Oryctolagus cuniculus: one gene and its partner. The protein of the gene in region 1 interacts with the protein of each later gene in a pairwise test. Links are inferred from orthologs where the notes say so. Each region holds a gene or a part of one and is shown in the gene's direction. Other genes may lie near its edges.

Region 1 (4,344 bases):
AATGGCTACACCTATCAGTCAGCTTTGCTTCCTGTGGAAACCACCTAAGGCTTGTTTGTATCTTCCTTGTCTCTCTGCTGAATAAATACTACTTAGTTACTAGATGGTTTTAGAGTACTAAATTTATATTGATTGCGCCCTTTTGTTGCAACTTCAAATAATAAACCCAAGACAAATTCATCTTTCTTTTATTAGTCAAATTATTTTTAATAATTATATGACTTCCTGAGTGATGAATGCTATCAGATCCACTGTCCAATTCAAAATAACTCTGAAAACTTAGACTGTCTGTCCAGGTACTTCTGGCACTTTGTCTTGATTGTCAAAAAAAAGTACCAAGAATTAGAACTTGAATTGTTGTGCTTGCTGTTTTCCCACGATTAATGTTTACAGAGCATTTTTCCAGACATTTAGATGAGGATGGAAACATTTCTGTGCTGTGTGTCAGTCAAAACAGGGAGGAGGCTTGGGGCTTTGTTATGGTGGGTGCTGTTTGCTGTGTTCCGGGGTGGATTTAGTTCCACTTAGATGTTGTGACTTGTCTTTCCCACAGGTGGATGAAAGCCAAACTGGAGAACCGGGATGGCTTGGAGGAGAATTAAAAGGAAAAACAGGATGGTTCCCTGCAAACTATGCAGAGAAAATACCAGAAAACGAGGTTCCCACTCCAGCCAAACCAGTGACTGATGCCACATCTGCCCCTGCCCCAAAACTGGCTCTGCGTGAGACGCCTGCCCCTTCAGTGGTGAGCTCTTCCGAGCCCTCCACCACCCCCAACAACTGGGCCGACTTCAGCTCCACGTATGTGTGACATCCTGTTTCTGATGCTTTTTAAATATCAATTCAGGAATCATTTTTCCTCTCTCTGTGTCTTTATGGTGTGGTTGTCTCTCCGTGTTAAGGAAGCTGGCTTGTTCCTATTACCCTCTCTCTCATTGTCTCCCAGGAAGATTGTGTATTACATTCTCTGAACTGGATCTAATGGAATCATTGCCCAACTATGGTTTAACCCTGGCACAAAATATACTCTGTTATCTTGTTTCATTCTGTAATCTGTGTATCTCTTTCATTTTTCTGGATGAAATGGAGACATACAGTTTCCTACCACAGTTGGCCCTCCTCATCTGTGGATTCAACCAACTGCTGAGCCAAAATGGTCAGGAAAAAGCATTTTGTTAGCACTGAACACATACCGACTTTTATCTCATCATTACTCCCTAAACAACACAGTATAGCAATATTACCATAGCATTTACATTTCCTTAGGCATTATAAATAATCTAGAGCTGATTTGAAGCATACGGAAGAATGTGTGTAGGTTCTGTATAAATACTACTTGAGCGCCTGCAGATTTCGGCGTCCACAGGGGTCCTGGAACCAATCTCCCACGGATACCGAGGGAACACTGTCATCTGTTTTGACATCCATGTCTGTCAGCAAATATTCCAAGTCATTTCCTGCATGAATTTAAATAGGACTCTCTTGCTGGGCAGAAACAGAAATTGCATTCAGTCATGTGGTTTTGAATAAGATAGCTGTTTCCTCTCAGGCTTTCGATTTTCATTAGTCTTGTGCAAGTGTACAGTGGAGTGACGAGGTGCGTGTCCTTGACCGCTGTTATTTAGCAAAACAGCAAAGAAGTAGAGGTTTGAAATGACAGAGGAGCCTGCTGTCCAGACCTCTAGTTACAGGGCCATGACCTAGATGTGTAGTTGCCTGAAACTAGTTGAAACCAGTATGCAAATAAGAGTGATTTGAGTGAGAAGTGCTTGGGGGTGGGGGAGGATTTCTCTTCAAATCTAATCATCTTTCAGAAGAAACCAGTTGAAGTTAAGGAATCAAAATGTATTGCAGGAGAAGGGTCAGGTGGGACAAATAGAGGGAAGAAAGGAGAATGACTAGCAGGGGCAGGAGGAAGTGGAGGAGAGGATTTGAGGATAGCCAGTTTTTCATACTTAGAGTTTCATATCAGAGGTTGAAAGCCATAAAGATCCTCGCTATATAAAGTTTGCTTTTAAAAAACAGTCGCCTCCCATTAGCAGGACTTCCAAGTCAAAACTGTCCCTTCCTCTTTTGATCTCGATTGAGAAGTTATAACTTTCTAACCTGAAGCTTAGCCTGAAATAGAAGAGTAATACCATGTTTTCCAGGATTTGTTTTTGCTGTGGATTAAATTAGTAGGACATTCTTCCTCAATAAATGTGTAGTGTGCAGTTCTCCTGCTATAATTATGGACATTTTATTTTCCAAACCAAAAATCAGAGTGTGTGCTCTAACAGAGCAGTTGTTTTGATTTTTTTTCCAGTTGTGTTTACGTGTCTTACAAAGATGTAAACACAAAAATTGCGTTTAGATCTGCACTCGCACAGATGCGTTTGTCTAAAATTGTAATATCACAAAATCACAAAATTAGAACTATCTCCCTAAGATCCAAGACAACTGGTTGCTGTAAGGATGCCCCTGCCAATGACCAGACATCCAGGTGTCTGCCCTAGGGTGGACGGAGAAAGAAGAGGTGCTGGGAAGCCTTGGCTGTGGTGCTGTTTTCCTAACTTCTTCATTCCTCAGTTGTCACTGCTGACGGTAATGATCATGTAAGGAGGGTCCCGCACAGCGAAACAAAAAAGGGGCAGAGTATCGTTCCTGTTTTACCCATGAGGAAGCCAGGAGTCAGAGAGACTGCTTTAGTTTGCTAAATGGCCTTTGCTAATGTCGAAGCTCAGACTGAATCCTAAGCCCAGGGCTCTTTCCTCTCTTCCTTGTTCTTTAACTGTAGAGAGCTGCAGAAATGGGGCAGGCACTCAGCTCAGCGTGTCAGACTCTGCTTGGGTTGCCCACATCCCATGAGAAAACTTCCATTCAAGCCCAAGCTCTCTTCCCCTCCAGCTTCCTGCTCATGCACACCCTGGGAGGTGGCAGGTGATGCGTCCCTGTCACCCATGGGGGAGATCCTGATTGAGTTCCGAGCTTCTGGCTTTGGACTGGCCCAGTTCCAGCTGTCGTGAACGTTTGGAGAGTAAACCAGGGGCTACGTCTCTGACTTTCTGTGTCTGTCTCTCTGCTTTTAAATAAATAAACAGGAAATCCTGGATTTGTGTTTACACGGGCTCACTGAGCACTGAACTCTGGGTGGAAAGCTTTCGGAAGTGCGTTACCATTGATGGTGGTGTACTTTTCCTTCCAGGTGGCCCAGCAGCACGAATGAAAAACCAGAAACGGATAACTGGGATGCGTGGGCAGCCCAGCCTTCGCTCACTGTCCCCAGCGCCGGCCAGTTAAGGCAGAGATCGGCCTTTACTCCAGCCACAGCCACCGGCTCCTCCCCTTCTCCTGTGCTAGGCCAGGTAAGGGCAGTCGGTGCCCTGCAGCCAGCAGGTGCTTGTTGGTGCTGCCGTTCAGAAGTCAGCTCTGCTCTGTGCTTCTGGGATGGCTTTATCACAAGGGGTCCGGGAGTCTGAAATGCGCTGGGAAGGACCAGCGTTCAGAAGGGGGAGTCGACCCTTCCTGAGCTGATCAGGGCAGCCCTGCCCAGTGGTAAGGGTCGTACTGGAAAATGCAGAGGGCTAGCATTTCAGGCAGAAGCAGTGAGGAGGGGCTTTAAAGCAGAAAACCCAAGCGTGTGCATGGAAAATCACGTTCATTCCCTTGGCCAGGCCATTGATCACTGGAAAACAAACCGGGGAGCTCTGAAATACCCTGCAAAGATAAAGGAGTGAAATTAATCAGTTCAGCCAAGCAGGATATGCCCATCCGGGGGGCTCTTAGAGGGTCCGGGCAGTTTCTGTCTGGGAGCACCCAGACTGCGGCAGACACTGGGCAGATTCAGCTGGAGACGATGATGCAGGGAGATGAGAGTGAGGACCAGTGGGCAGCATCACTGTTGTTCAGGGTGCAGGTGATGAGCACCAGGGAAGACCTGGGCCCAGGTGGGTTCATAGTCCCGAGCAGGGTGGAAGCAGTGGGTGTAGAAGAGGAGCACACATGAGGGAGGCTGCAGAGGAGAAACAGCAGAATGGCCTCTCCGGGCCCGTACCAGCCAACAGGAAAGGAAGGGGGTCTGGGAGTGAGAAGGGGGTTCCACCTGGAAGGTAAAGAAACAAGGAACAGAGAAAGAAAAATCAATTATTAGTTAGAGGCAGGAGTAGGTTCTGCACATGTTAAGGTTAAGGTGGAAACAGGACATGCAGGTAGTCCTGCCAGGCATGCTGTTGGAGCACAGAGCTGGGGGGTGGAAGAGAGGACAAGACCTGCATTATATGAGTATAGGGGAGCCGCCTCCCTGGAGAACACAAATCCGAGGACCCGTGTGAGGTCATAAAGGAGAGGTAACAGGGGAAGAAGAGG
Region 2 (3,233 bases), on another chromosome or scaffold:
GAGCTGAGCCGATCAGGAGCCAGGAGCTTCTTCCGGGTCTTCCACATGGGTGCAGGGGCCCCAGCACTTGGGCCATCTTCCACTACTCTCCCAGTCACGTCAGCAGGGAGCTAGATCAGAAGTGGAGCATCTGGGACTCAAACCGGCACCCATATGGGATGCCGGCATTGCAGACAGAGGCTTAACCCACTACACCACAGCGCCAGCCCCAGTGGGGTCATCTTTATGTTCCTAACTAGCTTCGTTCCTCTCTTTCTTAATAACTTTGTGCCCAAGACTGGAAGGCAGGCGTGTGTCCTCCCAGCTGTGGCCCTGCTGGCTGGGCTGTGGTCTTGGGGCTGGGGAGGGGGTTGGTGGTGGCAGTGTTGGTGGTGGGTGGCTCTATTGCCGAGGGTCTCAGGACAGTCGCGTGTGCCCGAGCCCGCCTCCCCCTCCTCTGCTCCGTCAGCTTCGCCAACTCCTGTAGCAGCAGCGCGGCTGCATCTTCCGGTGGCTCCTTGGCTCCCTATCAGAAGGCCAACATGGACAATGGTGAGTGGGAAAGATGAATCGCGCGGCCGTGGGCATCCCCGGGGTGAGCCGAGAAGCGGCAGAAAGTGAGCAACCGCAGCCTACAAGGAGTCTGGCAGACTCCTCCCGTGGGCCAGGGCTCCTGATAGAACGAGAAAAACTGTGGCCCCTGTTCCCGCAGCTCCAACACTGCCCACCTCTGCAAGTCTCTCACGCGTGGACTCCTCCCACCTCCGAGCCTGCCCTCCACCCTGACCTCCCGCCCCCCACCCTGCTCAGGGAGGGGCCTGGGAGGTCTGATCTCAGGCGCGGGGCAGCTGAGGCTGGAGCCGTGGCTTAGCTTCTCCAGGGCGCTGAGGTGGGCGTGTCCAGGGAGGTGGTTTCTAACAGCCAGTGTCCTTTGTCATCTTCTACCCCCGTGCTCTCAGGAAATGCCACAGACATCAACGACAACAGGTATGCCACTCCCCACTACCCTCGGGTCCTCTGGGCGCCTCGAGAAGAAATGATCCATTTTTCCTCTGCCCTACTTAGAGCTTCTCAGGGGCTCCGACAGCAGCAGGAGATCAGAGCCCCTCTTGCCATCTCTGGGCTGTCATCGCCGTCCCCTCTTCCAGCCCCACCCACCCTTGATTTCTCCCCATCCCGGTTATGGGGCCCGAGGGTGAGGGGAGGAAATGCCACAGGCATCTGCTGACCTGGCCCTGTCTCCTCGCTGGTGACCTTGTGCAGGCCAGCGTCATCCCTGCATTCCCGGGTAACCCGGAGAGTCCTGTGGCAGAGCTCAGGGACGGTGACGGGGTCCTCTCCTCACCCTGGGTCTCTCTTCCTCCAGAAGTGACCTGCCATGCGGCTACGAGGCTGAGGAGCCCGCCAAGCTTTTCCCTCTGCACCAAGAGACGGCAGCCAGCTAATCTCCCACAGGACGGCTCCGCACCTGCACTGTCAGGTAGCTTCCAGATGCATCCCGGACCACTGCAGGCTGCCTCCTTTCCTGCCCACGGCCTTTTTAGTCCTCCTGCTTCTGTTTTTTTCTCCACCATTTCAAAACTTAGACGATGTACTCACTGCTCACCTCTTGGTTCCCCCTCCCCGGGGCTGCACCTGTGCTCAGGACCCACCTCCCCACTCTTCCAAACTCTCCCTTCAGCTGCAGGAGTAACCACAGCATTACTGCCCTCCTGCCGCTAGGGGGCACCACCACACATCAAAAGGAGCAAACCCGGGCACTGTGGCTCTAAAGCGGCAGGCAGGTCACAGACTTAGATACCCAGAGGCCTTGAGAGATGATCTCAGCTCTCCTACCTCCACCCTAACATGGCTTCAGATGGATAGATATTTTCCAAACCAAGGCATCTCCAGTCAAGGTGATGTTCGCCTTCCTCCTGCCCTACCTGTGTATGCACCCATACTGTAGGAAGCACCTGCCAGGTGGGTGCAGCGTCATCCCTCTGCTCCCTGGAGGCGGAAAGGGTTCTCTCGCCAGCTCCCAGCACTTCCCTCCTTTCCCACCTCCAGCCAAACGGGAACCTTCCTGGGTCTCGTGGGTCATCACACCTGGGATCCTGTTTTATTGTCTACTCTTGCAGAACAGGGCCATTCTCTTCCTGGCCTGCACCCTCCCTCCCCGGCCCTCTGCAGGGGCACCCAGGACAATGGGCCATGCACACACCAGCAGAAAGGCGTGAGAAGCAGAGAAATAGGGTGGGAGCAGGGGCTGAGCGGACGGTCGGGTGTTGAAGGAGCAGGACTGTAAACCTGTGTGTGCGCCCGTCCCCGGGCAGTGTCTGGGCTGCCAGCTGGCTCCTCACACGCTCTTTCTCTTTCTTTCCCAGTTTCTAAGAGGGACCGAGGCCTCTTCTCTCAGCATGCTGCAAACCTGTGGTCTCCAATACTAGCTGCCCCCGCCCCTGTCGTCCCGCTGTGCGATGTTTGATGTCTGCTCGCTCTGTATCTATAGATCAAAGTTGCTGCTACGTCTCTCTTCTCTGTCTCACTCTCTGAGTATCTAACCATGTACTGAGCAATCGCTAAGCCTAGTCTGCCCTCCTCAATTGGGGCGATAGAGAGGAGGGCGCGTGTTCCTTCTGTCTCCTTCATACCTTTGTCTCTCACACTGAGTGGTATTAGTTGCTGATAGAGGTCATAGAGATGACAAAAGGAGAAACAGGAGCTGGAGGGCTGCGGCCCTTCTGTGTCTCTGTACACACACACACACACACACACACGGACACACGGACACACAAAGCCTTAAGCGGAAGAATGTCTTGGCATCCTAAGAAGACGCAGAAATGACTTCCTCGCTCCTCGCTCACGCGCAGCGCAGGGGAGGGTGACGCGGAAGGGCTGCTAATTCACACACGCTCTCCTTCAGACACCCACCACCTGAGTCGGGGGACCCCAGGGTTTCACCGCCACCCGACTTTTTGCCTCCCTTTGTTTTCCCGAGAATCTGGGTTGCTCGAGGGGCCGTGTCCCTTTCCCTTCCAAGCTGCTCTTGACATTTTGCATCCCAGATCTCACGGCCAGAAGTCAGGGCTGCTTCCAACCGCTGTGAAAATCCAGGTGGTAGAACCCCGCCCGGCAGCTGTCGGCGGCTGCTCCTCTGCCCACGGTGGTTCCAGGCGAGGACAAGTCAGGATGACTGACTCCTTGGGTTTGGGGGCTGAACGAGCCCGGAGAGTCCTAAGTGTTTTTGTCACGGCCTCAGGTTGAAGCGCTGA

What was found.
Region 2: the proteins of ITSN1 (region 1) and KIF5A interact in a two-hybrid assay, tested with the Homo sapiens proteins (2 studies listed by BioGRID and IntAct). The link is inferred for Oryctolagus cuniculus from reciprocal best matches to the Homo sapiens genes ITSN1 and KIF5A.

What each region holds. Positions count from the first base shown.
Region 1 is NC_091435.1:11,216,023-11,220,366, reverse strand, and holds part of ITSN1 (intersectin-1), read left to right. Parts: intron 1-553; coding exon 554-801; intron 802-3,184; coding exon 3,185-3,344; intron 3,345-4,344. UniProt on the Homo sapiens protein: Adapter protein that provides a link between the endocytic membrane traffic and the actin assembly machinery. Acts as a guanine nucleotide exchange factor (GEF) for CDC42, and thereby stimulates actin nucleation mediated by WASL and the ARP2/3 complex.
Region 2 is NC_091442.1:60,188,687-60,191,919, forward strand, and holds the end of KIF5A (kinesin heavy chain), read left to right. Parts: intron 1-448; coding exon 449-531; intron 532-938; coding exon 939-966; intron 967-1,345; coding exon 1,346-1,424; 3' UTR 1,425-1,459; intron 1,460-2,345; 3' UTR 2,346-2,486; downstream 2,487-3,233. UniProt on the Homo sapiens protein: Microtubule-dependent motor required for slow axonal transport of neurofilament proteins (NFH, NFM and NFL). Can induce formation of neurite-like membrane protrusions in non-neuronal cells in a ZFYVE27-dependent manner.